Linked DNA regions of Ovis aries. The protein of the gene in region 2 binds, or shares a complex with, the protein of the main gene of each other region. Links are inferred from orthologs where the notes say so. Each region holds a gene or a part of one and is shown on either strand. Other genes may lie near its edges. The genes, in order: BICDL1 and BICD2.

The links.
Region 1: BICD2 (region 2) and BICDL1 share a complex: the UniProt entries of both Homo sapiens proteins name them as parts of the tripartite complex. The link is inferred for Ovis aries from reciprocal best matches to the Homo sapiens genes BICD2 and BICDL1.

Annotation. Positions count from the first base shown.
Region 1 is NC_056070.1:62,530,128-62,545,077, forward strand, and holds the start of BICDL1 (BICD family-like cargo adapter 1), read left to right. Parts: upstream 1-2,328; 5' UTR 2,329-2,384; coding exon 2,385-2,822; intron 2,823-8,478; coding exon 8,479-8,694; intron 8,695-14,950. UniProt on the Homo sapiens protein: Acts as an adapter protein linking the dynein motor complex to various cargos and converts dynein from a non-processive to a highly processive motor in the presence of dynactin.
Region 2 is NC_056055.1:28,583,776-28,599,442, reverse strand, and holds the start of BICD2 (protein bicaudal D homolog 2), read right to left. Parts: upstream 7,667-15,667; 5' UTR 7,521-7,666; coding exon 7,272-7,520; intron 1-7,271. UniProt on the Homo sapiens protein: Acts as an adapter protein linking the dynein motor complex to various cargos and converts dynein from a non-processive to a highly processive motor in the presence of dynactin.

The DNA.
Region 1 (14,950 bases), on a different chromosome or scaffold from region 2:
AGCTTAAGGAAGGCAAGACAAAAACCTCTGGGGAGAGATAGGCTGCAAGTCTGCTTCAAGGAAAAATAAATACCTGAAACCCCTTTTGATTAGGATTTTGTTTGCTCTTGATATGTGTGTCCCTAATCTATTTTCAGGAGCAACTTCTTTCCTGATCAAAAAAGACAAAAGGGATTTGCAGGTGGGTCTCACCATGGACCCACTATTTCTGCTCAACTGCTAGAACAATGTATTGTTGGAATGATACCACCGTCAACTTTCAAAACTTGGTTCTAAGATGTGTGAAGCCCTCTATTGTCTGTCTCCTTTTCAATCAACTAGAGAACAGAGTCATCCCCAAGGCTCAGGACCTTCAGGTTTCACACCTTCAGTTGGAAGGTAAAAAGTGATGTATGTACCGGAGTTTTGTTTAGGCTTTGACTTTTTTTTTTTAGGCTTTGACTTTAATAAGAGAAAAAGCCATGAGAAACCATTTGACTCATTTTAGCCAATTGGTGTCCTGAAAATTTCCATCTCACTGTGATGAAAAGGATCAAACAGTGATCTAACTCAAAAATGGATTGTTGTCCATAAGAAAAGGGAAAGAACAAGGACAAATTCTAGCCTCAGATGGGGTTGTTCCTGAAAACAGGAGACAGAGCATCACCGATGAGGTCAAAGCAAGAACTGACTGGAATCACCCATTAGGCTCTTTAGTCCTTGATTTGATCATTGCAGGAAGCTTTCCTGATAGAACCGTGGATACTGACCCAGGCTATCTTGGTCACAAATTACTACTTATCTTCCTCAAGACTTGTATGTGAGGAAAGTAAATAATGGTATATTTATATACCAGTCTGCCTAGATCTGATTCTGTATCTCAGGGCCTCAGTTTCCTTCTCTGTAAAATGATAAGAGTGACAGTACTGACTTTTAAGATTCTTGTGAGGATTATCTAAGATAATGCCTATAGAGCACGAGGCATGGCACACACTAAGTGCCTAATAAACAGAAGTTATTAAGGAGGGTCTTTGCTTCGCATTCCCATTTGTGAGCATTTTTTCCCCGTTATTTCTCAACAGCACCCCTTTCTTTCGGAGCTGCTGATCTCCGAGGCTTCTAGTTTCTTATATCCCTGAGTCATCATCATTGAGACGCTGGATTTCTGAAGTCGTCCCTTCTATTGCTTTCTAGGGCTCCCTCTCCTGACTGCTTAGCTCTCGCGGGGGCTCAGACCCACAGTCCGTGGCAGCAAGTCTCCGTCGGGCTTGGCCACCCGTCTTGGAGAAACGTCCTCAGTCCCCTTTGGAGACCAACCACCTAAGACTGAGACCCATCGCACCCAGAGAAGCTCGCCAGTCCAGAGTTCCGAGAGAGGTCGAGGGCGGGGCCAGGCCTTGAGGTGAGAACGAGGCTGGGGGCGGGGCCGTTCTCGGAGGTGCGCGCGAGGCCACACCCCGAGGTGAGCGTGCCGGGGGCGGAGCCACACCGCGAGGTGGACGCGAGGCCGGGGGCGTGGCCGCGCCGAGGAGCCGCCCGGACCGTTACGGATGAGCCGGCCGTCTCCGCTGGCTGCGCACGCAGCCGCCCCCGGGCGTGAGGCAGCGCAGGGGTTAAGGCTGCCGGCGCCACCTGGGCGCCGCTGAGGAGACCCACGAACCGGCGAATCGCGCGCGGGCGCGGCGAACAGGTGCCCGTGCGCGTCAGGCGCCGGCAAGGGGCGGGGAGAGGGGGCGCGGCCGGAAGCCCGGGGCGGGGCGCGGCGCGGCCGGCCCGGTGGAACTGGAGAGAGCTGAGGCAGGCAGGAAGGAGGTCGCCGGGCCGCGCGGTGCGCGATGTGGAGCCGCCGCCTCGGCGCCTGCAGCAGCCGCCGTCGCCGCCGCTGCTGCTGCTGGGGCTGCCGCCGAGCCGAGGGACATGGAGCGCGGCTGCAGAGAGCGGCCGCCGGCAGCAGCAGCGAGCGTCGCAGCGACAGCGGAGCGCAGCCCGCCCGGTGAGGCGCTGCCCGGCCGGCGGCGGCAGCGGGAGCAGCAGCAACAGGGTGGCTGAAAACCCGGCGGCGGCGGCGGCGGCGGCGGCGAGGGCGGCTTTCCTCCCCGCAACTTCCCCTCCCGCTTCGCGTCCCCGCAGTCTTCCCTTCCTCAGCCTTCCCTTTGCCACCCCCCCTCCTCCTCCTCCCCGACGCTCGCCGAGCAGCTGAGCCCGGGGGCGGGGGGAGGGGGCGCGTGCCGCCGGCGCGGGGGAGGGGCGGGCCGGCGCGCGCCGCGCCCAGGGCTCGCGGAGACCCGAGGGGCGCGTGCCGCGGCGTGAGGCGAGGCGCGGGGCGGCGCGGCGGGGCCCCTCCCCCCTGCAGCCTGGCGCGCGCCGGCCGGGCCGCACCGCTGCGGGCTCGGCGCGCGCGGGCCATGTCCGCCTTCTGCCTGGGCTTGGCCGGCCGCGCTTCAGCACCCTCCGAGCCGGACAGCGCCTGCTGCATGGAGCTGCCCGCCGCGGCCGCGGACGCAGTCGGGAATCCAGCCACCGCCACCGCCGCTGCCCTCGTCTCCTTCCCCGGGGGCCGCGGGGAGTTGGAACTGGCGTTAGAGGAGGAGCTGGCGCTGCTGGCGGCTGGGGAACGGCCGTCCGAGCCCGGGGAGCATCCTCAGGCCGAGCCCGGGCCTCCAGCCGAGGCGGCCGGACTGCAGCCGCCGCCCGCCCAGGATCCCGAGCTGCTGTCAGTGATCCGGCAGAAGGAGAAGGATCTGGTCTTGGCGGCCCGATTGGGCAAGGCATTGCTCGAGAGGAATCAGGACATGAGCCGGCAGTACGAACAGATGCACAAGGAACTGACTGATAAGCTGGAGGTGAGGACGTCCCTCCTGGGATAGGTGGGAAGCGGGAGAGGGGGGAGCCCAGGTACCCTCCCGCCGACCCTGGGTAGCTTCGGGAGCCAGGCAGTCACCCACCTCACCCCATTCCTTGCTTATTTTGTCTTAACAGAAAGCCACCTGGGAGGTGGGTAGCATGGAGGGTTTGGGGTTATCAGACGAGGGCATTCTTTGAACACACCTGGCTTTCTTACCCTGCTCACAGCAAATGGGCCCATGCACGGCCCCAAACGCTGTGGGCCGTTCTATATATGTACTGTACACAGCATCTAAAATAGAGCTTACAGTATGACTAATTTATACAGCACTGAGGTGATGCCTGCACACAGAAATTACAGAGCCGGAAAGCATTTAAAATATGCTCCAGGTTTTCAGAGAGGTAGTTAATCGCTAATCAGGGTGTTAGCCTAAAGCTTTTTAGCTTTGGAGTTAAGGGCTTCCACATGCCCTTGTCTTAACTTCCCCTCAGCTCAGAATGGTGGGAAACAAGTGCCCCTAAAGGAGCTTTATATAGCCTTCAGATACGGATTAGGAAATATGGTTCCACTGCAGAAATCAGGTGAGCCTGGGCTCAACATGTGACGGTTGTGATTTGATGTGGACTTCAGTATATATATGTATTTAAACAGTATATGTATTTAAACAGTACTTTTGTTTCTGTTCTGGGTCTCACACACGCATTTGGATGGCCAAATGCAACTTGTGAGAACCATATAACTTTAACCATTGTTATAAATACCCCTTAAAATATCTGTAAGATTCTGCCAATTCTCTGGACCAAAGTCTTTTGCTTCTGTTTTCTTGCCCTTAACTAGAAAAGGGCCTTGAAACTAATACAAGTGGCCACCACTTCTAAAAAAGTTTTTAGAGAGAGTCTTTTTTTCTTAAGTGAAGATGGGGAGGTGCATCTGTGGCAGTGGCGATGAGCTTATCTTTTTCTGTCTATGCATTTAATATTGTCTCCCAGTTTGGTGGCAATGAGTTCTTTTTATTCTTGTTACAAGAGAATAGTACAGCCCTGAATACGGTTTGAAATTGACCATTGCCTGGTTCCATATCACTGCTACTGGGCAAATGGTCAGAGTGTAGATTCAGAAATTTTTCTCTAGTAAGTATGTCTGTAGTCCAACAACATATCAAAAATAAATAAGAGAGGGAAAAAAAAGGAAACCAGTGAGTGCCCTGTAGTTCAGTTGGCCTGTTAACTAGGTCTGCCAGTCGGTGAACTCCTGAGATACCTCTCTGAAAAGTGGTTTGTGAAACCTGTTTGTAGATTGCCAAAAAGCAACCCAATGAATTGAATTGTTTGATTTTCACTTGAAGTAGACGTCTCAGACTAAAAGGGTGTCTTTTTTTTGAAAAAGAGATTAGATTACAGACTCTAAATAGAAGTACTACTGCAGAGATGTATGCTTGTGATTTGAAATCCCTTCAGTGAGAGACTTGATTAAAGAGACAGCTGTCTTGAACATCATATCAGTTGGTTTGATGAGTGATAGTTTTCAAGGGTAATCCTAAATATGTAGTTAAACACATCCTGGGTTCCACTTGGAATCTTTATACATGTCTTCACCAAAGGAAAAAGATTTTCAAATTCTGTAACAAGAAAGGTTATACTGTAGAAGAATAAATTACATTTGACTTTTTGCTATTGACTTGATAGATGATATTAAAATAGTTTAAAACTCTTATTAAACTATTTTAAAAAATCTTCACTCCTCTCAGGTCAGCATATGAACTCAAGTGTTAAAGGTTTATTTTTAATTTCTGGAAGTTGGTTGCACAACGGTATGAATGGACTCAGGGCTACTGAACTAACGGTACACTTAAAAATGGATAAGGTGATAAATTTTATGTTATGTATGCTATGATCTAAGGCACTAACTTACATTTATATACTTTTTTCTTCAGAGATTTAATCTTTATTTAGTTTTTTAAAAATATGTTTTTAAAGCCCAGGATTCTCTTTTTCCCCCATTCCAGGTAAGAGTGAATTCTCTCTTAATGCAGAGGGAGTCTCTTCCCTAGGTTACATTTTCTTCCCTCTTCCTAGTCCAATTCTAATGATTCTAGCACTATTTTTTTTTAAGAGGCAAAAAAAAAAAAAAAAATGATGGGACTTCCCTGGTGGCCCAGTGATTAAGAATCTGCCAGTGCAGGGGTCCGGGTTTGATACTTGGTTGGGGAAGTTCCGCATACTGTTCAATATGGCCAAAAAAAGAGAATAAATGTTCTTGTTAAACTTTTTTGTTAAAAAAAAGTAAGGTGAAAATGATTACATAATTGGGTAGTAGATTTAGGTAAGCAAATGCAGGAGTCCTTATTTGCATTCAGTGCTTGATCCACTTAAATAGTATTTTTTTTTCTTTGTATTTTTCAAGAACCATATGCTGGACTTAGGAGAATAATATGCTGTTTTGGTTCATGGCAGAAGTCCATTTCTGTAACAACCAATTTTAGGTGAGCTAGTGATACTAACTTCTTAGAGTTTTAAATAAACTGTTTTTAGAATGGTTTTAGATTTACAGAAAAATTGAAAAGATGGGACAGAGTTTCCATATGCCCTGCCCCCAGTACTTGCCATAATTAGTAAATCAATACTAATACATTATTATTAGCTATGAGGCTTTCTTGGTGGCTCAGATGGTGAGGACTCTGCCTGCAGTACAGGAAACCCGGGTTCCATCCCTGGGTCAGGAAGATCCCCTGGAGAAGGGAATGGCTACCCAGCCCAGTATTCTTGCCTGGAGAATTCCATGGACACAGGAGCCTGGCAGGCTACAATCCCTGGGCTTGCAAAGAGTCCAACACGACTGAGCAACTAACGCTTTAACTTTTTCATTTAGTTTAATTAGATTTCTTTCGGCTTCTCTTGCGGCTCAGCTGGTAAAGAATCTGCCTTCAATGCGGGAGACTTGGGTTCGATCCCTGGGTTGGGAAGATCCCCTGGAGAAGGGAAAGTATTCTGGCCTAGAGAATTCCATGGACTTTATAGTCCATGGCAACGCAAAGAGTCAGACATGACTTAGCATGTAGATTTCTTTAGCCTTTGCCAAATGTCTTGTTCTGTTTCATGATACCCTTACATTTAGTTTCTGTATCTTCTTAGTCTCTTTTTTCCTGTATCAGTTTCTTAGACTTCTCTTGTTTTTGATGACCTTGACAGTTTTGACATTAACTTTTTTCAATTTCTTATTGAGGTATAATTGACATACAGCATTATATTAGTTTCAGGTGTAGATATTACCTTTTGAAGTACAGTGTAACCCCAAGAAGCAGGGAATAGCATGGACAGAGCCTGACTGCTACACTTTCTGATATTCTTCCTAGAGTTTATTGGTTAATTTAGCACTTCATTGAAAATGTAATTCTAGGAGAAACCTTTCTTTTCTCAGAATAGACAGAAGGCTAAGTTCTGTATGTTCATTAATAGGAAAGTCTTGATTTTTTTTCCCAGAGTGTTGGGAAACCTGGAAGGAAGAAATGTAAGGACAGAATAGATTGATCAGCGCCACTTGTCCTCAACCCTGCCTCACTTCCTGCATGTGGATTAGATTGTTTTAGTCGCTTAGTTGGGCTGTTCACTAACAGCTGTTTGTGGAGTATTTTTAAGTCTCTCTGTTCTTTTAGAACACAAGCCTAATTTATCTGGCCTCTCAGTAATACTGTGATTACTGAGTTCTTGCTGTTGCCTTCTGCTCAGTCTTTTCCATTTTGGAAAAACTCAATAAAACCAAGTATCACAATTTTAGAATTGTAATTACCACTTACTTCTGCATCTCATCTTTCTGAAGTTTGTGTAGTGACTAAAACATCCTCATTTTTGGAAGTTTAGCAAAATGAAGGAAGCATAGAACAGAAGATTTTCATGCTGAGAAGTGTAAGTCCCTCTCTTGAGAGAAAAATCTTTTTTTAGGCACATCTCAGATGTGGAATAATGAGACTGATTTTCTTGTATAACTATACACTGCCCCTTAAGGCTTTCCAAAAGAGGTATCCTAAAAAATATTTGAAAGGTGAGAACTTGGATAGAATAAGAGTGTAGATTCACAAGGTGAATCTGAGTACGCTGAAGGAGAAGATGCAATTGCTCATCTTAGCTTGTTGAAACAATCTCAGTGCTTGATAGTCAGCCTTTAGTGCATCAGAATTTCCAATAGAACCTAAATAGATGAATGGGTAGATAGACAGATGCCTTCCTAGGCCTCATCCCATTCTTTACTGAATCATAGTCTGGAATTAGTGTTTAAGATATATTTTGAACAATTATACCAGAGATTTTCTGACAGCAAAAGTTGAGGACCATTGCTTTACTTCTCATATGCATCTCATTTACTCTGAGGTATTTACTTGGTTTTTTGGTGCTTGCTATGCTTTTTTTATTGTTTATTTTTTAAAAAATCTATTTATTTGGCTGCCTTGGGCCTTAGCTGCTGCAGGTGGGATCTTTTGTTGTGTTGTGCTGCATGGACTCCCTAGTTGTGGCACATGGGCTCTCTAGTTGTGGGACAGGTCAGTCAGTGTGTCATGGAGGCTTAGTCGTTCCATTCTGAGGCCTGTGGGATCTTAGTTCCTGGACTAGGGATCGAACCCACATCAGCCTGTATTGCAAGGTGGATTCTTAACCACTGGACCACCAGTGAAGTCCTCATACCATGCTTTTTAAGTAGGAGAACATACTTGCCTCTGAAAAGAGGCATTCGTATTTATCTTAGAGAAACAAAAAGATGTTCTTATTTCCTTCAACCCAAAAAGAGTTCTTCTCTGTTGTTGCTCCTTCAAACCATCTGTACTTTTCCTGTATACCATTTGTCACACTGTACAACATAATACTTTCATCAACCTCTCACTAGAGTGGAAACCCCATAAATGGAAAGACCAAGTCTCTTTTGCTCAACATTATTTCAGTGACTAACCTATAACAGGCACTCAGGAATGAATGAATCAGAAATAAATTTGCAAGGATTGTAGGCCATGATTTAATAAAAGTAGGCCTGAACTTGCTTAATGATTTCAAAATGCAGTGCTATATAGAGCAGCAAATATTTATTGAGTTGTGATTTTGAGCATTAAACAGTCAAGTGAGAGAGACCCCAATCCCAGCTCCCAAACGGGAGCATTTGCTAGAACAGACCTTAAGCTGGTTGCAGAATCTCTTCTGTGGCTTCATTTTAAGAAGTGGTTGATCTGGAGGATCTCTGAAGTCCTTTCTGTCTCTGAAAATTCTAAGTGCCTGGTATTATGCCAAGCATAACAGATGACAGCAAAAGAAACTTTCTCAAGGGCTTGTTTTAAGTTGCTTAAATGTATATTTCACTGATTAATAGATGACTTACTAAATTTCAGGTGAGTTCCTAAATCTAGAACCCCGATGCCCAAGGACAGGAATAAACATAATAACATTAAGTATTTCAGTAGGAATGGCGTTCTCTTTGTGAAGTTAGCCTTCCCTACTCTGGCTGAAAGGGATATTTTTGCAGCTGTGAAATGGGCAACTTGTCCTACGTGGCAGAGTGTTTTGTTGTGCTGACTGACTAGGAAAAAGAAAAGTTAGAAGAGTGTGAAAAGAGAAAAAAAATTAACGACTCTGGAATTTTTTAGCAGTTTAAAAATCCTCTTCATTTTCACCCAGCACTTAGAACAAGAGAAGCACGAACTAAGAAGACGATTTGAGAACCGAGAAGGCGAGTGGGAAGGGCGTGTGTCTGAGCTGGAAAGTGATGTGAAGCAGCTTCAGGATGAGCTGGAGAGGCAGCAGGTTCATCTACGGGAAGCAGATCGAGAGAAAACACGGGCCGTCCAGGAGTTATCAGAACAGAACCAAAGGTTATTGGACCAACTCAGCAGGGTGAGTCACGAGTTAAAAACTTATGGTATTAGAAAAAAAGAATTTGTGGTATAAAATACTAAAAGTTGAAACAGAGCTTCTGTTTAATGTCATCATATATATGGTAAGAGTAGTTCTCCTTTTTGTTGCCTTTGGTATTGATACCGGTAAGTCAAGTGTTTTTCACCTCTGAGAATTTCAACTGGGGTGAACTAGACGCCAGGAGCAAAGACCCTTGCTTGTCACAGGCCAACTGTGAGCTTTTGGCAATCATTTAACTTGGGAGTCTATCTCATTAATGATTTGATGTTCCTTATAGCTCTACAAGTCTGTGATTCTTTTACCTAGAGAAAGTCTGCCACTGGTAAAATTATATTAATGCATTTAGTTCGGATATTAAATGGTGCCATCTTTAAAAAATAATAAATTTGCCATTTTTCTTTTCTTTCTTTTAAAATTAATTAATTGATCTATGTTTGGCTTCCCTGGGTCTCGGTTGCTGTGCTTGGACTTTCTCCAGTCTCAGCGAGCAGGGGCTACCCTCTAGCTGCAGTGTGCAGGTTTCTCTTGTGGAGCACAGGCTCTAGGTGCCCAGGCTTCAGTAGTTGCGACCCATGGGCTCAGTAGCCATGACATTTGGGCTTAGTTGCTCCATGGCGTGTGTGATCTTCTGGACCAGGGATGGAACCCGTGTACTCTGAATTGGCAGGTGGATTCTTAACCACTGGGCCACCAGGAAGGTCCAAATGGTGCCATCTTTAAACTGAAAAGCTTAGGGAAAATTTCTAGAGCAAATGATTTTCACTGTGAATGTACATTTCTTATTATTTAAATATGAAAGGAGGTATGTGTAGCTGTATATATAAAACGTGTTCTCTTTATTTCTACATTAAGTAGAAGTTCTTTATTTGTACCTTTATAGTGTGGTGTCATAGAAGTATTAATTAATCAAAGTCAAGATTGTAAAATCAATGCAAAGAAGGAGTATGAGAGCTGAGTAGGTGGAAATCTAACTTAAATACGAGCACACCTTTTAACAAATACAGGAATGTTGTTAATGCCCTGGTCTCTAAAGACTTACTTTTGAAAATTAAGAGCTGGATTTACTTTTATACCTCGTGCCTTCTTATGTATTGAAAATAAAACGAGTTCAGTTACTTGTTTTAGAGGAAAAAAGAACTTCTACTCTGATCGCATCCCTAAGCACAGATGCTCTTAGGAGAGCACTGCCCTTGTCCGCATGCTTAGTGTTTGGTGCTTAGGCCTCTGGGAAAGGCTCAGCTAGAGCAGCATGTGAAGTTATTTCACTAGGTTGTATCTTAGTTGCTTCTCATGGGGACCTTGTGCTGTGCTTAGTCGCTCAGTCGTGTCCAACTCTTCGAAACCCCATGGGCTGTATCCCACCAGGCTCCTCTGTTCATGGGGATTCTCCAGGCAAGAATACTGTAAGGTTGCCATGCCCTCCTCCAGGTGCATGGGGACCCTGAGACTGGTCTAAACCTCGTGCCTCACCAGGAAGTACAAAGTAAATGCTACCACTAGAGAAAGGGAGAGGAAGGAGGAGAGGCAACAGGAGGAGAGGATGGAACCAAGGGCGCCAGGGGCTAGAGAGGGCAGGGGAGAGACCGAAGCGGAGAGATGGCAAAAGCTTGGGAAAGAGCGAGTCACAGGAGCTCTCAGAATGTATGGGAAGGTGAGAGTTCAGGTGGTGGTGGAGCTGCCTGCAAGCTTCTCGCTGGGGAATCAGACTGCCATTTGATTGTCTGGAAAGGAAGGGCTTGACAGTTCTTCAGGAAGTCATTATAGGGCCAGCTCAGGAGCCTTTCAGAGTCAGTTCTAAAACCTTTTTCAGCAACTGGGAAGGGAATCTCTGTCCTTTTAAGATTTTATAGGTTTTTGAGACTTCATCCATCATTCATGAGAAAATTTTTCAAATCATTGATTTGTGCCTGTGCTGGGTCTTCGCTGCCGCATGGGCTTTCCCTAGTTGTGGCGAGCAGGGGCTACTCTCCACTTGCAGTGGTCGGGCTTCTCACCGTGGTGGCTTAGGGCGTGCAGACTGTAGTTGTTACGGCGTGAAGACTTGGTTGCTCTGCAGCATGTGTGATCTTGGTTCTTGAACCAGGAATTGAACCAGTGTTCCCGGCATTGGCCAGGACCCCTGGACAACCAGGGAAGTCCTTTCATTAAAGATTGACCAGGTCAACCTGGCCAGATTGATTTATTTGTTCAAAAACATTTAATACTTATTCTGAATTAATGTTTCTTATGGAGACTTATGAAAGGAATACAACAAACCAGAACAATTTAAGAGGAAATTATTTATTGGGAGCTGAGTTCATGTTACAAAGTGACATGAGCAGAAGCCGCCTCAACTCTGCTTTTTGATCCGGTGAAAGATAGGTGGTGGGAGAAAGCAAGTTAGAATTCGGATGCGTGTTGAATCTTGACTCTGCTTCTTTACTGGGTGACCTTGTTTATTACTTCCTCTCCTTATCTTTGAAATGGGGGTAAAAAGTTGTGTCTAATGCAAGTGCTGTTGAAATCGAAATGAGATAATATGTTTAGGTTAAGCAGAATATGAAGTTCAAGAATTTGTTTTGGTGCTGATGGTTATTTTACTAAGGTAGTATTTTTATAGTTGAGACTCCTCTGCCTAATTTTTCCATAGACAATTCTGATACGTGGTTCCCAGAAGAATATGGGAGGATAGCATTTCCACTAGATCTAGATTCTTGTTGTCTTCTCTGGCCTTGAATGTAGGCCCTTGGTGAGTTTTGTGGCTTTTTTCTTTTCTCTCTTTAAGCAGGCCAAGCCCCTTGGGTTTCCATCAGCAGCCAGTTTAGATTGCATTTTATTATCATTTTATTAACTGAGTATTCAGGAACTAGAGGAGTGGAGTAGTTTGAAGTGAATTAAGATTCTTTTAGAACAAGTTAACAACCGGCAAAAGTAGTAGTAGGCCATGCTTTTCTTACAGAGTGAATAATGTGTTTTTATTAGCATGAAATGTATGGTATCTAAAATGTGTTGATATTTCCGTGATGCTTTGTCCAGAGTATTGTTTTTGTTGAAGTATAGCTGATTGATTCTTCCAAAGTATTTTAAAATGTATTTCCTTCGCTGCCATGGCCTCCATGGTTTTTCTTAATGTTTGTTTGTTGAGATAGGATTCATATACCATAATATGTGCTTTTTAACAGTACAATTTCACCATCACCACTATCTAATTATAGAACATCTCACACCTCTCAAAGGAAGCCTGTGCCCATTAGCAGTTATTCCTCACTCCTCCTGATCCCCATCCCACACCCTGACACCTGAAAACCATTAATCTACTTTTTATCTCGATGGGTTTGTCTATTCTAGACATTTCATGTAAATAGAATCATACATATGTGGCCTTCTGTGGCTGACTTCTTTCCCTTAGTATAATGTTTTCAAGGTACACCCACACTGTAGTGTGTATCAAAACCTCATTTTTATGGTTGAAGAATATTCCATTGCATGGATACAACGTATTTTGTTTATTGATTCATTAATAAATGGACATTTGGGTTGTTTCCACTTTTTAGCTTTTATAAATAAGGCTGCCATAAACATTCATATTCAGGTGTTTGTATGACCAAGATTCTTTTCAGCTCTAAAATAGAATGCTATGATATATATCTCATAAGCTTTTGGCCACGTTATGATGATGGAAGGGATGGGAATTGTCCTAATTTTATAGCTGAGAAAAACTGGAGGGACCAAAAGATATGTGGCTTACTTAAGGCTCTTCCGGTTTAAGACTGATGAGGGTTCCTTTGCCTCAGTTTCAAATTTCTGAAGTAGCAATCAAGGTCACAGGCTTTGGAGCCCAGACAGCCCTGGGACCAGATACCAACTATGCTATTTACTAGCTTGGTGAGTATGGGAAAGTTTTTCCACTTTTTAAAATCTTAGTTTTGTCCTCTGTATAATGGAAACAGTAGTATTATTACTATTTTCTGATGTTATGAGGACGGAATGAGGTAATGTATGTACACTCTAACTATGATGTCTAGCATATAGTGAGTGCTCAATAAAGGGTAACCATCATATCCTCATCATGAAGATGAGATTTCTGCGTCTAGTCCAATGTTGATTCTCTAATTTGAGAGGATGGAAGAATCTGAAGTTTCCCCAGAACTTATCAGCATGTTAAAACTGTTTTGTCTACTAGTCAAATCTCTTTTCAAAAATATTTGTGTAAAATTGACCCTCCTGGGAGTCGAGTTAGGTTTATCCTGTAGCACTTAGTATCGACATTGCTGCGTATATCCTAAGGATACCTTTGTTGTTGTTCAGTCAGTAAGTCATGTCTGATTCTTTGTGACCCTTTCATGGACTGTAGCCCACCAGGCTCCTCTGTCATGGGATTTCCCAGGCAGGAATACTGGAGTGGGTTGCCATTCCTTTTCTAGGGGATCTTCCCAATCCAGAGATTGAACCTGTGTCTCCTGCATTGTAGGTGGATTCTTTACCACTGAGCCACCTGGGAAGCCTTTGTTTCTTCTTTGTAGAAATGTCTAGTTAGGTCTGCTCCCCATTTTTCAGTTGGGTTGTTTGTTTTTTTGTCGTTGAGTTGTATAAGCTATTTGTATATTTTGGAAATTAAGCCCCTGTTGGTCACATCATTTGCAAATATTTTCCCCCATTCTATAGGCTGCCTTTTCATTTTCTCTATGGTATGTGTCCATTGCTGTGCAGATTTTTTGTTTTTATTTCCGTTGCCTTGTGAGACTGACCTAAGAAAACATTGGTATAATTTATGTGAGAGAATGTTTGGCCTATGATCTCTTATAGGAGTTTTATGGTGTCATGTCTTATGTTTTGTGTATGTTGAGAGGATATGTTGTAACTTCAGTGATTTACCGGCAAGTGGCCAGCTTTCCCAACACCACTTGCTGAAGAGACTGTTTTTTTCCATTCTATATTCTTGCCTTGTTTGTCGAAGATTAATTGACGGTAGGTATGTGGGTTTATTTCTGGGCTGTACCACATCTTCTTTATCCATTCATCTGCTGATGGACATTTAAGCTGCTTCCATGTCTTGGCTATTGTGAACAAGGCTGCTGTGAACATAAAGGTGCATTATCCTTTTGAATTAAACAGTTTTGTCCGGATATATGTCCAAGAGTCGGATTGTTAATTCTAGTTTTAAGGAACTTCCACAGTGTTTTCCTTAGCAGCTGCACCAGTTTACATTCCCACCAGTGGTGTCGAAGGTTCCCTTTTCTCCACACCTTCTCCAGCCTAGGAATAAATGGAAAGCAGGCTGATGTGACTGTGGTGCCGTTGGCTTAGGAAGATGAGGTCAAAGGGGAGTAGTCAGTGGCCAGATGATGTAGGCCCTTTCCTGCCATGAGACAGATTTGGGGTTTTATTCAGTGTGCTGCGAAGCCAGTGATCTGCTTTTGGCAGAGGAGTATCAAGACCTGATCGATAACTATTTTAAAATTTTACTCTAGCTACCGTGGGAGAACGGATTATAGGGGCCAGCAGCAGAAGCTTAGAGGTCAGGAAAGAAGCCACTCTCCAGTGGAGAGTTGATGGTCACTTTGGTTATAGAGGTGATGAGAAGGGTTAGATGGGGTGTATGTTTAGAAGGTAGAACCAGCCAAGAGTTTTGAATGGAACGGATGGATGTGAGAAAGGGAGTTAAGAAAAGAAATAAAAAATGACTCCTGGATTTTCGTCTTGGGCTCCCTAGGGAATGGTGGCATCACTAAATTGAGAGACCAAAGGCTAGAGGAAAGGTTGGAATATAAAATCAAATAATTACTGTTGGATGAAGTTTGAGCTACCCTTTGAATATCCATGTTGGTTTCATATAAGTAGAACAGTGAGAATTCTGTTGTATTGAGGTGAAATATTGCATTAAATTTCCCACAGTCATCTGAGCACTCACAGGGCCTGAGGCTCTGTTTTATAGTGCCTTCTGTTGACTGTCCCCAAGAAGTTATTCAGAGTGACTGAAGCTGTATTCAGATGAGTTCTCATCCCATCTAGCCCTGACTTCTACCCTCCATGACCCCCCTCTTCTCGTTTGTCCCCCACACTCTCAGCCGCTAGGAGAACCCCTCTTCTGAGTTGGTGTCTGTGGCATGACATGAGTAGGAGGAAGTTGGTGCAAACAGGTGCTTTGTCTGTCTGCTGCCTATTCTAAGCTGTATTCCTCAGTCTGCCTCTAATGTGTTATCCGCACACAAAGAAGGTAGGCTGCACAGTAGCTGGAGCTAATCTTCCTGAAAAG
Region 2 (15,667 bases):
GAAAACAAATATTTCAATTTTAAAATCAGCAAAAGATCAGAACAGACACCTCAACAAAGAAGATATACAAACAGCAAGCAAACACATGAAAACATGTTCTACATCATATGTTAGCAGAGAAATGCAAATGAGAACTATGAGATGCCCCCATAACCTACTGTAGTAGATAAAAGCCAAAATACGGGCAATGCCGCATGCAGGTAAGGAGATAGAACAACAGGAGCTCTCATCCACTGCAGGCAGGAATACAGCCTCGTGCAGCATTTGCAAAGTGATTTCTTACAAAATTAAACATACTCTTAGCCTATGATCCAAAAAGTTGCATACTCTTTGGTGTTCACCTCGAAGAGTTGATAATTTATGTCCATACGAAACCTCCACATGGATGCTTTATAACAGCTTTGTCAGGAAACACCCCCAATTGGAAGTAACCAAGATGCCCAGTTTGGATGGATAAACAAACTATGGTACATCTAAACAATTCTGTGATTTTTTTTTAAATAAAAATAGCTATCAGGCCATGAAAACACATGGATCAATCTTAAACACATGTCGCTAAGTGAAAGAAGCCAACATGAAAAGGCTACATACTGTATGATTTCAATTATATGACATTCTAGAAAAAGGAAAAAACTACAGAAAAAGTAAAGCATCAATGGTTGCCATGGGTTCTTTTGGGGGGTGGAGCAGTGTTGAATAGGTAGAGTACAGGGATTTTATAATGCAGTACAACAATTCTGTAAAGCAACTATGAACTGAACAGGGAAATCCAAATGCCAACCAGATAAAAGACAACATTAAGGAATCACTGTTAATCCTGCGAGGTGTAAAACTTAATCTGTGATTATGGGTTTGTTTTTTTTTTAAAGTTACCTTCTCAGCACAACACATCAATGAACTTACAGAAGAAGTGAGGCACAGAATAGAGGCTGCCGAAGCTGGAGGAGCCAAAGTGGGTAGGAGAACATGCAGGCCAATGTCTCTGCTCTGGTTGTGCATAAAACATCCCCTAAAGATGGAAACCCTTTAGGAGGGGAACTGCTTTCAAAAAGCAAACCCATAGAACTCAAACCACAACCATTATTTCACATGATACAATAGACTAGACGTGCACCGCAGCTTCCAAACCCATGAAAATCTTCATTATCTTCATCCAGTTGAATGAAACCTACTTTTCTGCAACTCAGAGAGTAACCCCAAACCCTGTGTCTCCTTAAAAACAACTGTTATAGATGCTCAAAGCACTTTCTGGTTTTTATAATACCATATGTATCTGACACACACATAAAGGAAGAAAAAGCTGGCAAGCAGAAATACCCAGTAGTCCTCCATACATATTCCGTAATTTCTACAGAGACATGCTCATTTCTTTTTGATCTTGATGAAAGTGAAAGAGGATGTATCATGTGAAACTGATGCTTTCGAGTGAAAAAGCTGACTTAAAACTCAACATTCAAAAAACTAAGACCATGGCATCTAGTCCCATCACTTCATGGCAAATAGACGGGGAGAAAATCAGAACAGTGACAGACTTTATTTTCTTGGGCTCCAAAATCACTGCAGACAGTGACTGCAGCCATGAAATTAGAAGACCCTTGCTCCTTAGAAGAAAAGCTATGACCAACCTAGACAGCATATTAAAAAGCAGAGACATCACTTTGCCAACAAAGGTCCATCTAGTCAAAGCTATGGTTTTTCCAGTAGTCATGTACGGATGTGAGAGTTGGACCATAAAGACGGCTGAGCATTGAAGAACTGATGCTTTCAAATTATGGTGCTGGAGAAGACTCTTTAGAGTCCCATAGACAACAAGGAGATCAAACCAGTCAATCTTAAAGGAAATCAACCCTGAATATTCATTGGAAGGAGGAATGCTAAAGGTGAAGCTCCATTTTGGCCACCTAATGGGAAGAGCCAACTCACTAGAAAAGACCTTGATGCTGGGAAAAATTGAAGGCAGGAGAAGGGGGCAACAGAGGATGAGATGATTGGATGGCATCACCAACTTAATAGACATGAGTTTGAGCAAACTCCAGAAGATAGCAAAGGACAGGGAAGACTGGCGTGCTAGAGTCCATGGTGTCGCAAAGAGTCAGTCACAACTGAAGGACTGAACAACAGCAAAAGTAAATGAATAACTTTCTGAGTGAACTCCAGGAGTTGGTGATGGACAGGGAGGCCTGGCATGCTGCGATTCATGGGGTCACAAAGAGTCGGACATGACTGAGTGACTGAACTGAACTGACTCTCTAAAGAAGAAAGCCGTCTTCTCCTCCTTAATGCCATCAACCACCTGACGCTGGACTGTCCATTCAGCCACAAGTCCCTGCACTCACCCTGCTCCTACAGCCCCATCTGTCAGCCCACCTCCCTGGGCAGAACAGAGCCAGAACCAAAAGGTTTGATGCCCAGGACAGCAGCTAGAAGGTCACACTGGGCACTTCTGGCTCTAGGGAATAGCTCAAGGGGCCACACTCCAAACATTAGACAATATGGGGCCTGAGGCCCAGGAGGGTCTCATCTAGCCTCTGCCCACTAGCCACTTTCACTTCACTAAGAAACCAAATCTTTCTTTACCTTCAATGTGTGTACCGGCCCTTTATCCAGTGCACAAATGTGGAGAAGCGGGTCTGACTGAGGAGTGGCTGCCCCAGGCTGACAAGGGTAAATTGAGCTCCCACTTCACAGGAAGGGGTTGGGCTCCCTCAGCAGGGAAGGCCCAGCGGGAGTCTTTGTCTGCCTTGCCACAGCCCTCTCTGAGGCAGCTGCTCAAACACAAGGAGCCTCAGCCACTACCTGCCTAAGTGCCCCAGGCACACTGGCCTGAGGGCAGAGCCATTCCTCTGGGGCCACATAGCTCCTGAGGGCCCAGGCAGGGTCCAGTCGGCCCCTTGGAGCCAGAGTGTGCAAACCACAGCCCTTGACAGCACATGTAGCACCTCCTCGCCTGCCCAGCCAGAGCCACTCTCAGGCCTGGCCTCCCACCTGCACCAGTTATGGAAAAGCAGCTCCTTCTAAGTGTGTCCATCCACCTGTCCAGAGTCACGCCCCCAAAACACTGTGGTACACAGCTGCTCACCCACCATGGCCTGAAGGAAAACAGAATGCCAGGTGACATGAGAGTCTCTGGAGTTTTCAAAAGTGGAAGAGCCCTCAAGATTGCTTCACAATGCCACACCAGATACAAGCTCTACAGGCAGGAAAGTGGGGAGTGCCCAGCAACGTGGACACAATGGGCTACATGGTCACTGCCTTTGGATGCTGGAAGCTGCCTCTCCCAACTATCAGATCCCTGGGAGCAGGGCCGCCTCAGCACCTGCAGGGCTTCCTGGAACTTAACCTCTATCCCAAGTCAGGCTTCTTCACGCTAACAGCAGACTACCACACAGCTGGCCCTGAGAGGCCCAAAGGACTCCCAGAGCCTCCCAATCCCCAATGGCTCTCTGCTCCAAGTTTGAGGGTGGATTCAGGTAAGTGGGATCCTCATAGGGTTTGGCCCAAATCAGGACTTTTCCTGTCCCAAGACAAACACTTGAGGAGGCTGAGCCTTGCACAGAGGATTCCCATTACCTTCCCTCCTCCGCAGGTATCCGCTCTCTTGGGGACAGGTTGCCTGGGCTCACAGTCTTGAGTCAAAGTCAACTTCTTGGTGCCTTAGTTTCCACAGCAGTACAACAGACATAACAGGGTAGTGACCCCAAAAGTCAGAATGAGGACTGCAGGAGTTGGTGGGGCACAGGGAGGCTAGAGCCACTCACCAATAGTGGTGAAGCCTGGGCAACAGCCCTCACATCACCCTCCTCTGGAGCCAGCTCATCGCTGGAACTTCTACAGACTTGGACAGGAACCTGGTGCCCAAGGACCACTTCCAACTTGGTCTGAGCTACTGGACCTTCCTCAGACACTCACACCCATCCCTACCTTGGTTTCCCCATCCTCTGAGAGAGGAAATTATGATACAAGAGAGATGGGAAGGAGGAAGCAAAGAGAACAGAGCAGCTGCTCTCATCAGCTTTGCCACAGTTCTTCATGCGGCTGCTGAGCCTACAGGATGAGAGGGATACCCAGGTGGGCTCACCTGAGAGCTAGGCTCAGACAAGTCCAGAGGAGGCTCTGAAAAGCATCCAGGCCTTGAAGGGCAGGCAGGACTTCCAAGATCCAAGACTGGGAAGAGGCAGGGATGGTGAGGGCCATGAAGGCAATCAGGAAGCAGGGGAGCAGTGCAGGCTGAGCCAGGCCAGAGGCTCAGGCTGCACTCTAGGAGACGCAGTGGGGCCACTCCAGACCGCGCAAGGAGTAGAGATAAGGCGATGACAGGGACAGCAGGAAGGGTATCCAGGCTTGGGTGAGCTAGAGGGAAGGAAGAAACTGAAGATACCAGCCAGCACACACTTACTGTGTGTGCTTACTGAGTAAGCACTTACTGTGTGCCAGGCACCAGTCCCAGCCTGTGACAGGTTGCAGCTCACAAAATTCCACCCCTGGGTTCCCTGGGATGTAAGTATACTGCACAGCCAAGATCCTTAGGTAGCACAGAAGCCAGCAAGGACGTCCAGACCTTGTCTTCCTGCTCTCTGGAAGCCGAACGAGGATGGGGCTGCGTCTGCACTAGGACCCCCACCACTGGCCCTCACATTCCAAAGAGCTACCCACTCCCGGTACCTAACTGAGCCCTACAGGCAGCAACTGTCAGCCCAGCACCCCTGCCCTCCTCAAACTGCAGCTGAGAACACAGAGCAAGATGTTCCATGGCCACTAAGGACAAGAAACACCACATGGCTGACCAAACTTTATCTGATTCTCTTCCTTACCATGGTGGGGAAGGGACACAGCAGAACTTGGGACAGACAGGGCCCTTACTAAGCCAGGCTCAATCACTAGCAAAATGGGCCATTAGTACCCCTCCTCCCTAATACCATGGTGTCAGCAGGACATAGACACACACACACTTACCAAATGAGAAAGGCTGCAGGGCCAGCACCACTGCCCTGCACAGGACACTCTTCAGGTCTGGTTGCAAACCAAGTCACCTGCGATAGGCCAGTCAGCTTTCCTCCCTTAAGACAATATTATCTACAAATGCTAAACAGGAATACAGGTACCTCTGTGGCACAACTTATTAATAACTGAACTCACTTTAGTTAAAGAAATAAAGCTTTAAAAAGAATGAAGATGGCTCATCTCTCTACAGGAGAAAAAATTTTAAAAAAGATCCAATAGATATTGTCTCCTTGAATCTTGATTTTTTTTTCCAATTATTTTTATTTATTTAGCTGCACTAGCTCTTTTTGAAGCAGCATTTGGGATCTAGTTCCCTGATCAGGGATCAAACCTATGCCCCCTGCATTGAGGGAGAGGAATCTTAGCCACTGGACCACCAAGGAAGTCCCTAAATCTTTATTTTTTAAAATAAGCGTTAATGCTTTGAAGTATAACAATACAAAGGTTTAGAGAGGCTGACTGACTTTGAGTAAACTGATGTGAGAGCTTTCTGGCAATACCTACTGAGGCTCTGATGCACCTTCCTCTAGCTTCTGCTGAGACTTCCATCTGAACAGATAGAGGGGAGGGGCTGGGGAAGGCCAGGCTCCCTTCTGAAGTGTAGAGAAGGTGAACCTAAGATGCTCCCACTTCATTTTCTCAAGGCCCCTAAGCCTCCCTCCATCATTCCCCTGCCCCATATAGTAAGATGAGGCTTTTGCCAGAGGGATCACATATCACCCCTCTAGTAGATTTAGTGCCAGATAAGGCTGGCTTGGAGGAGGTATCAATACCTGCTGACATATACAAGACCTCAAGTTGAAGGAGCTACACAACCATCCTCCTCGGGCACCCTTATCTGTCTTCTAAAGGCACTAACAGGGAACTTGTTCCACCAAGCACAGATTTAAGTACCTTCATGCATAAACTCCCTTCACTATCAGAAGGGGACCTGACTGGTCTCCCGAGTGAGGCATGGAGGCTCAAAACACTCTAGGGACCTGCCTGAGGCCACACGGAGAGGGCTGCTGGGAGGTGGGCAGCTGGAGAAGCACCAAATGTGGTGGATCCTAAGACCAAGGGCCAAGAGCCCACCTGGACAAGGGAAGAATCAAGTAGGGAAGGAGAAGACAGGCTGACAGACACTGACAGGCTAAATATCTGACACCTTCTCTAGCCTTTTAAAATATATCCCAGATGAACCCTTTCTGGGTGAGATGGTGCGGTGGGAGAAGGTTCATGCTCAGAGCCCCATCACCAGTAAGGGGAAAGACCTGGGTCCAAACCTGAGCGTCAACTTCTCCCTCCCCACCTCTACAACAAGGCTGGGGAGTCAAGAAGGACTGAGATAGGAAATGGTGTTTAAAATCATCTAAGAGAACTACTTCAGGGAAGGACTGCCCAGTTTTACCACTGCAAGATTTCTTGGTAGCCAAGTGGTCCAACCTGTTCATCCCAGAGTAAAAACAGCACAGGAGAGATAAGGCTTCACCTGTGACAAAAAATCCACAGACGTGTCCCTCAACTTTGGGAAAGGGCCTGGATGGGCAACTAAGACAGGAAGTGGACAGAACACTGTATCCATGAGAAGTAACCATCAGGGTGGTCAGAGAGCCGAGCATGGGGAGGCCTGTGGGATACCCTGGCCAGCTGTGATGGCCACATGCAAGCCAAGCCCCCAACTTGACCCTTTCCTGGTGTCCCGGCGCTCACAAAAGACGCTGAAACCGCTGAAGGCAGCTGCGCCCAGAGACAGGAGATGCTGTACATAGAAATGATGGAGACACATGCCTGGTGTTTCCCAGCCGGCCACCTGCATGCATCCCACGTCCCCATCCCCCCTACCCGAAAAGTCAAACACCGCAGAGGACACCATCCCCACCGCGCCCGAGACCTGCCATCAAGAGCAGAAAGGCTGACCACCAGGCTCCACCGCAGCCCTTGACGCGGAGGCCAGGGTTTCTAGAACCCAAATCGCCCACAGCACCCAAGGCCCGGCATCCACCGCAGGGCCGCCTCCGGGACGGCCAAGCAATACTGACTCCGGGTGCCCCGGTGCAGGTCTGGTCGGCGCGGGGTTAGCAGTCGGCTGGTGGTCGACCTAACTCGGGGTAAGGGGTCAGTTTGGCCTGGGTCGGCGGCTGCCTCGGGGGTCGCCTTCTTGGCTCGGGTCAAGGGCCGATTCTGAGGTCGGCGCGGAGGTCAGTTCGATGGGATGAGGGATCCGGGTCCGGAGTCGGAAACGGCCGGGGGGCGCGGAGGGCGTGGCGCCAGCCGCCCTTTCTCCTTACCTCCTTGAGCTGCTCCATCTCGCCGCGGATGGCCTCGTAGTCCACCTCGAGTTCTTCGAACTGCAGTTTGAGTTGGTGCTTCTCCTCGAGGACTGCCAGCCCGTACTCGGCCGCCTGGATCTTCTCACGCGTGGTCTCGGCCAGCTCGTGCGACAGCCGCTTCACCTCCGCTCGCAGCCACTCCGGCTGCGCCTCCATCACGAGCCGCGCGTACTCTTCTTCCTCGGACGGCGCGGACATGGTGGCCATGGCCCGAGTCGCACCACTCGCTCCGTCGGAGGCTCAGACCAGACTCCTGTCCGCCGCCGCCGCCGCCGCCCCGCCCGACGGCAACCCGGCCGCAGCCGCCGCCACCGCCGCCGCCGCCGTCGCCGCCGCGCAGCCGCAGTGAGCCCGCGGTCGCGCGGGGCACTCTGGGGGCCATAGTCCCGCCCGCGGCAACTACAAGGCCGGTCGTGCCCCGCGCCCGTCTTCCCCCGCCCGTGATTGGCCCGGGCCCCGTTCCGGGCGGCCCCTTCCAATCCCGTAGCCTTCGCAGCCGCCGCGCGGAGCATTGTGGGGGTAGTGGTCCAGTCGCCGCACCGACTACAAGGCCCGTAGTTCCCCACGCCCTCCCGCCCCCTCCGGTGATTGGCCGGCGCGTCCGCCGTCGCGGAGCCGGAAACTGGTGTTTTCCACTGCCAGCCCCCGGGCGTGGGAGGCGGGGGTCGGTGCTTAGGTGGGTCGCTGGGGAGGGTACACACTGCGCTGGGCAGGGGATGGGTGGAGCGGCCCACCGGTATATACCAGAGGTGGAGCGCCCGGAGCGTCGGGAGAACCGCGGGACGGGTGGCGGTGAGGATTGTAACCTGCTGGTTCGGGCCTTATCCAGTGGGAGAAGTAGTCAAACCACTAGCAGAAGAGGCGCCTTGCATCCAGCTAAATACGAAATGCCGCGTGCGTGTTTCCTAAGAATTAGGCATCTCCATTCGCTCTACAGTGTTCCAATTCAGGACCGTCGACACAGACGCGGCCTCGACTCCAGCATAGCGTCGCTGTGCTTGTAGCACGGTTCCAGCCCAGGACCTGGTCCTGGGTCACTCAAACGGCAGTCGGCTGTCTTTACTCTGCTCTTTGTCTTCATGACCTTGACCTTTCTGAGGCGTGCAAGCCAGAGATTTACACACGGATGCATCCCCCAGGGTTAGAGTAGGTTATGCACTTTGGCTGGAATATCATGAGATGGTGCTAAATTTTCAAAGAATTCTGTCAGGAAGCTCGCAAACCCATCGCCCAGATGCTGCTGGTCACTCCTTTGTAATCACTATCCTCTGAGAAGACAATTTACACTTTACAGATAGTCCGTCACTCCTCAAGCTTTTTTAATATTTTGTTGCGGTGGATTTGATTTATAATGTTTCAGGTGTACAAAATAGTGATTAACAATTTTTAAAAATTATACTCCATTTTAGTTATACAATATTGGCTATATTCCTTGTGCTCTACAATATATTGTAGCTTTATTTTATACATAGTGGTTTATATCTCTTGATCCCTTACCCCTATCCTGCCCCTCCCCATTTCCTTTTCCGCACTAGTAACCGCTGCTGCTGCTGCCAAGTCACATCAGTCGTATCCGACTCTGTGCGACCCCACAGACGGCAGCCCACCAGACTCCTCTGTCCCTGGGATTCTCCAGGCAAGAACCACTAGTTTGTTCTCTTTATCTGTTAGTGTTTTCTTTGTTGTTGTTATATTCACTAGTTTGTTTTGTTTTTTAGTTTCTACAGAAAAGTTATACAGTATTTGTCTTTGTGTCATTTCACTTAGCATAATATCTTATAGGTCTATCCATGTTGTTGCAGGTGGCAAAATTTATTTTTTTTTAATGACAATACTGTTTCATACCACATAGTCTTCATCCATTTATCTGTTGTTAGATATTTACGCTGTTTCCATATCTTGGCTACTGTAAATAACGCTGCTCTGAACATTGGGTGGAGAAGGAAATGGCAACCCACTCCAGTACTCTTGCCTAGAGAATTCCGTGGAGAGAGGAGCCTGGTCAGCTGCTGTCCATGGGGTTGCACAGAGTCAGACACGACTGAAGCGACTTAACATGTATGCATGCATGCATTGTAGAAGGAAATGGCAACCCACTCCAGTATCCTTCCCTGGAGAATCCCAGGGACAGAGGAGCCTAGTGGGCTGCCGTCTATGGGGTCGCACAGAGTTGGACACGACTGAAGCAACTTAGCGGCGGCGGCGTGAACATTGGGGTGAATTGTATCTTTTTGAGTTAGTGTTTTCACTTTCTTTGGATATAAAACCAGGAGTGGAATTAATGGATCATATACTAGTTCGTTTTATTTTTTGGCTTTTTGAAGAACCTCCATACTGTTTTTCCACAGGGGCTGCACCAATTTACACTCCCACCAACAATTTACAAGAGTTCCCTTTTCTCTATATACTGACCAACATTTGTTGTTTGTAGTCTTGATGATAGCGACTCTTTGCAACCCTATGGCCTGTAGCCTGCCAGGCTTCTCTGTCCATGGGATTCTCCAGGCAAGAATACTGGAGTGGGTTGCCTCCCGGGGATCTTCCTAACCCAGGGATCTAAATCCACATTTTTTATCTCTCCTATATTGGAAGGTGGGTTCTTTACTAGTAGTGCCACCTGGGAAGCCCATTCTTACAGGTGTGAGATGATAGCTTATTAAGGTTTTGATTTGCATTTCTCTAATAATTAACAGTGTTGAGCATCTTTTCATGTGCCTATTAGCCATCCACATGTCTTTCTTGAAAAAATATCTGTTCAGGTTTCCAGCCCATTTTTTAATCGTATTGTTTGGTTTTTTGATATTGACTTATATGAGCTCCTCAAACTTTTAGCTGACTAGTTATCATTGATATTTCTTGCCTAAAGAAATTAGAGTATTAACCAAACTATTCTATTTCCCTCATTCCTGTTCGACTTACTAACTTTGTACTTTAGAGAAGATATTTCATTCATTAATGGTATGAATCTGTGGATTCTCATTTTACTTAATGAGTTATAATCCATTATCCTCCATATTCACTTAGATGCTCAGATGTGGCAGATCTGGCTAGTGGAAGCTGCTCAGTTGAGTCTGTATCCTTTCAACATGTCATGATTTTTGAGAATTTTCTTTGATTATAGCAAAGTTGTTTCAGGATCATCTTATACTCTGTGTCCCAGACCTGGAATCAGCCATTTCTCTAAGGAGCCCTTATTCCTTTTAGTGGTTTAGTGTTTTATTTGTCTGAGGAGAATATGTCATATTTTACTCACGAAATTAAAAAATTACTTTTATGGCATTCAACCACAGTAGCAGTATGATGCCCAAACAGCCAGTCTGTCCTGGTCTTAGGAGTCCCAAGTCCTGAAAAGCCCTAAGGCCTGTGCTCACCAGTCAGTCTAAGTGGGAGAGATGATTGGGAAGAGAAGTGAGGAGGAACAAGCCTTGTTTGAGTGAGATTAACATAAGATGAAAGACTGATACCCTGGTGGCTCAGAGGTTACTCGGGTTCAATCCCTGGGTGGGGAAGATCCCCTGGAGAAGGAAATGGCAACCCACTCCAGTACTCTTGCCTGGAGAATCTCATGGAGGGAGGAGCCTGGTAGGCTACAGTCCAAGGGGTCACAAAGAGTTGGACACGACTGAGTGACTTCACTTTCACTTCACTTTGACCCAAGCTGTCCAAACTCCAAACCCCTACCCAACTCCACACCTTCATATGAGGCTGGCCTGAGGGAGGGAGAGAATAAAAGGTGGGAATCTGGTGCAGGCATTGACAACAAAGCTTAGGATGGCAGTAGACGGGGACAGGCAAAGACTCTTACAGCTATTGGGGACAGAGTGCCTGTCCCTGGAAGAGTCATGATATGTAACAATATCGGGGCGGGGGGGGGGGTAGGCATCAGAAGAAGATTCCCTGCAGAGGTGACACCCAGGTGGAGACCCAGAAAGTACACAGGAAGTGGCCTGTCAGGCTGGTGGAATAGGGGATTGGCAAAGATAAGAGGTGGGGCCACTGCTTGTTGGGCTCCAACTGGGTCTCCAGCATTGCCAGATACTTTATCTCCATTATCTCTTTGAATGCTCCCAACACCCCAGGGTGTGGGATTTTGCTCCCCTAGTAGCTCAGATGGTAAAGCGTCTGTCTGCAATGCAGGAGACCCGGGTTCGATCCCTCGGTTGGGAAGATCCCCTGGAGAAGGAAATGACAGCCCACTCCAGTATTCTTGCCTGGAAAATCCCATGGATCGTGGAGCCTGGTAGGCTACCGTCCATGAGGTCACAAAGACTAGGACATGACTGAGCTACTTCACTTACAAATGAGAAAGCTCAGGGTAAAAGCCTCAGTGTCACCTTTGACAATTTGTCAATCTCTAAGCAAATGACAGACCCAGAACTTGCCTTGCCCTCCTACCTTCCTGACAGTTCCCTCTCTGAGCACTAGCATGAATCTCTTGATGAGCTTCTCTGCTTTCTTTAATCTAGCCTCAGGTGATCTCCTCTGGAATCCTAACATCTTCTACTTGTTGGAAGTTTTAGTTCTTCAAAGAACTCAAATATATTGTCATGTGTATCTGCCTTGAGGTAGAACCAGGAACCTGCTCAAGGCAAAACTGTTGTTTCTTGGCTGCTCCTCTCTCATCTCTATATCTCATCCTTTCCCTGGTTAGCAGATGTTCAAACCTGAAGGAAGGTCTATTCCCTACAAGAAGTGGAGGATTCAAAATGTTCTGTGCCCAGGAGCCCCATGGGGTCAGCAAATCGTGGAACTCAGATTGGGACTTGAACCCATAGTTTTTTAATTGAGATCACACACAAGACTTAATGAAGTTCAGGTTCCTGACATCTTATCACAGAAAAAATTCAGTGAGAGACAAAGTGATAAGAAGTGATTTTATTTAGAGAGAAATACACTCCAGAGACAGAGTGTGGGCCATCTCAGAAGGCAAGAGTGGCACCAGGGTATGGGGGTTATCAGTTTTTGTAGGGTGGGTAAATTCATAAGCTCATAAGTGGGAAGAGTGTTCCAGCTATTTTGGGGAAAGGGTGGGTATTTCCAGGTTGTGGGCCTTGACACTTATTTTTAACTTTCTGGTCAGCCTTGGAACTGTCATGGTGCCTTTGTGTGTGTTCTTTAGCTTGCTAATGTATAAACAGTTGAGAGATGGAGTCAGTTCAGTTGCTGAATCATGTCCAACTCTGCGACCCCATGGACTGCAGGATGCCAGGCCTCCCTGTCCATCACCAACTCCGGGAGTTCACTCAAACTCATGTCCATCGAGTCGGTGATGCCATCCAACCATCTCATCCTCTGTCATCCCCTTCTCCTCCTGCCTTCAATCTTTCCCAGCATCAGGGTCTTTTCAAACAAGTCAGTTCTTCGCATCACGTGGCCAAAGTATTGGAGTTTCAGCTTTAATATCAGTCCTTCCAATGAATATTCAGGACTGATTTCCTTTAGGATGGACTGGTTGGATCTCCTTGCTGTCCAAGGGACTCTCAAGAGTCTCCTCCAACACCACAGTTCAAAAGCATCAATTCTTCGGTGCTCAGTTTTCTTTAGAGTCCAACTCTCACATCCATACGTGACCATCCATACAAGACCATAGCCTTGACGAGACGGACCTTTGTTGACAAGGTAATGTCTCTGCTTTTTAATGTGCTGTCTAGGTTGGTCATAACTTTTCTCCCAAGGAGTAAGCGTCTTTTAATTCCATGGCTGCAATCACCATCTGCAGTGATTTTGGAGAGAAGGAGTATTTCCTGCCGTATCTGTAAAGAAAGATGTCCAGCCCTCCAAATGTGGACTTCTGAGCCCTGAGGGCACTCAGGAAGGAGAACAATACTTGTGACCTGGCAGCCATTAGACTGCAGTACTCCCTACAGTAAGCACTGAGGAACTTAGACTGAAAAAATGGCTTAGATGCGCACGAAAGGAAAGGTTTCAGTGACCCTAGACTCTTGCATCTTCCCACACATAGAAAAGTGCTACATTTCTCAACTTGAGATATCTGGTTTTCTTTAATTCACAAAAATACTTTCCACGTTCAGACTACCTGTCCTTTGTTGCAAACTTCTAAATAACCTGACTCCCCCTCTCCTCAACCCCACCCCACCCCTACCTCCTTAGAGCAGTTCTCTCAGGGTTACTTGAGATGCTGTCTCCCAGGCCTGAAGTCCTAAAAATTCCCACCAAACAAAACATGTCTCAGCTTTTAGGTTGTGATTATTTTTTAAGTGGACACAATGAGTATATAATGAGCCTCAAGGTCTAGTGGAATTCAACTTGTCCACCATCTTGGATCTTTTGGTTCTAATCAGTTTATGTTGTACGCTCAGGCTATAGCATTCTTTTATTTTTAAAAAATATTTATTTGGCTACATTGGGTCTTCGTGTTGTGGCATACAGGATTTTCATCACAGCATGCAGACTCTTCGTTGTGGTTTGTGGGCATCTCTAGTTATGGCACATAGGTTTCTCTAGTTGAGGCATGTGGCCTTCGTTGCCCCATGACATATGGGACCTTAGTTCCCTGACCACGGATCAAGCCCATGTCCCCTGCATTGGAAGGCAGATTCTTAACCACTGGACAAACAGGGAGGTCCCTGTGTCATTCTTTTAAAGGCCGTACCCTGCTCTCTTCTCTATTGGTTCAGGTACTGCCTTGTTTCAAAAGTATTTGGTGATTTTCTTTTTAGATATCTTTCTAATATTTATTTCTAATGTAATTCTGTTGTAGTCTGAGAATATACTTTGTATTATGTAAATTATTTTAAATTTAAATTGTTTTATAGCCCAGATATGGTCTGTCTTGGTAATCATTCCATGTGCACTTGAAAAAAATACATATTCTGCTCTTCTTGGGTGGAGTATTTTCTCAATAGCAATTAGGTCATTGATAATATTGTTCAAGTCTTGTTCAAGTCTTCTCTGTCTTTCCTGATTTTTCTGCCTACTCATCCTTTCAGTTGTTCAGAGGAGTGTTGGAATCTCTTGTGATTTGTCTATTTCTCCTTGCAGATTTCAATCTGGTATAATTTATTCCTGAAGAACTTTAAAAAAATATGTCCTATACTACAAATCTACTGAAGGTGAATTCTTCACTATGTCTAAGAAAGTGTTTTGCCTTAGTTTTCTAAAGATTTTCTGACTAGATTTCTGTATATGTAGGTTTACAGCCCCACACTTAGACCCCAGTCCTTTTAAAATGTTATTGCACTACTTACATTGCTGGCTTACATTGCTCCTGAAGAGAAGTTCATTATCATTCTTATCATTGTTGTTGTGACATAACATGCCTCTTGAGAAACCTGTATGCAGGTCAGGAAGCAACAGTTAGAACTAGACACAAAACAACAGACTGGTTCCAAATAGGAAAAGGAGTACATCAAGGCTGTATATTGTCACCCTGATTATTTAACTTCTATGCAGAGTACATCATGAGAAACGCTGGGCTGAAAGAAGCACAAGCTGGAATCAAGATTGCCGGGAGAAATATCAATGACCTCAGATATGCAGATGACACCACCCTTATGGCAGAAAGTAAAAAGGAACTAAAAAGCCTCTTGATGAAAGTGCAAGAGGAGAGTGAAAAAGTTGGCTTAAAGCTCACCATTTAGAAAATGAAGATCATGGCATCTGGTCCCATCACTTCATGGGAAATAGATGGAGAAACAGTAGAAACGGTGTCAGACTTTATTTTGGGGGGCTCCAAAATCACTGCAGATGGTGATTGCAGCCATGAAATTAAAAGACGCTTACGCCTTGGAAGAAAAGTTATGACCAACCTAGACAGCATAATGAAAAGCAGAGGCATTACTTTGCCAGCAAAGGTCCATCTAGTCAAGGCTATGGTTTTTCCAGTAGTCATGTATGGCTGTGAGAGTTGGACTATGAAGAAGGCTGAGCGAAAATAATTGATACTTTTGAACTGTGCTGTTGGAGGCAACTCTTGAGAGTCCCTTGGACTGCAAGGAGATCCAACCAGTCCATTCTAAAGGAGATCAGTCTTGGGTGTTCTTTGGAGGGACTGATGCTAAAGCTGAAATTCCAGTACTTTGGCCACCTCATGTGCAGAGTTGACTCATTAGAAAAGACTCTGATGCTGGGAGGGATTGGGGACAGGAGGAGAAGGAGACAATAGAGGATGAGATGGCTGGATGGCATCACTGACTCAATGGACGTGAGTTTCAGTGAACTCCGGGAGTTGGTGATGGACAGGGAGGCCTGGCGTGCTGCAATTCCTGGGGTCACAAAGAGTCGACAGGACTGAGCAACTGAACTGAGCTAAACTGAACATGCTTTTTTGTTCTGGCTACTTTTAAGATTACTCTTTATCATAGATTGAGGCAATCCAATTATAACATGCCTTG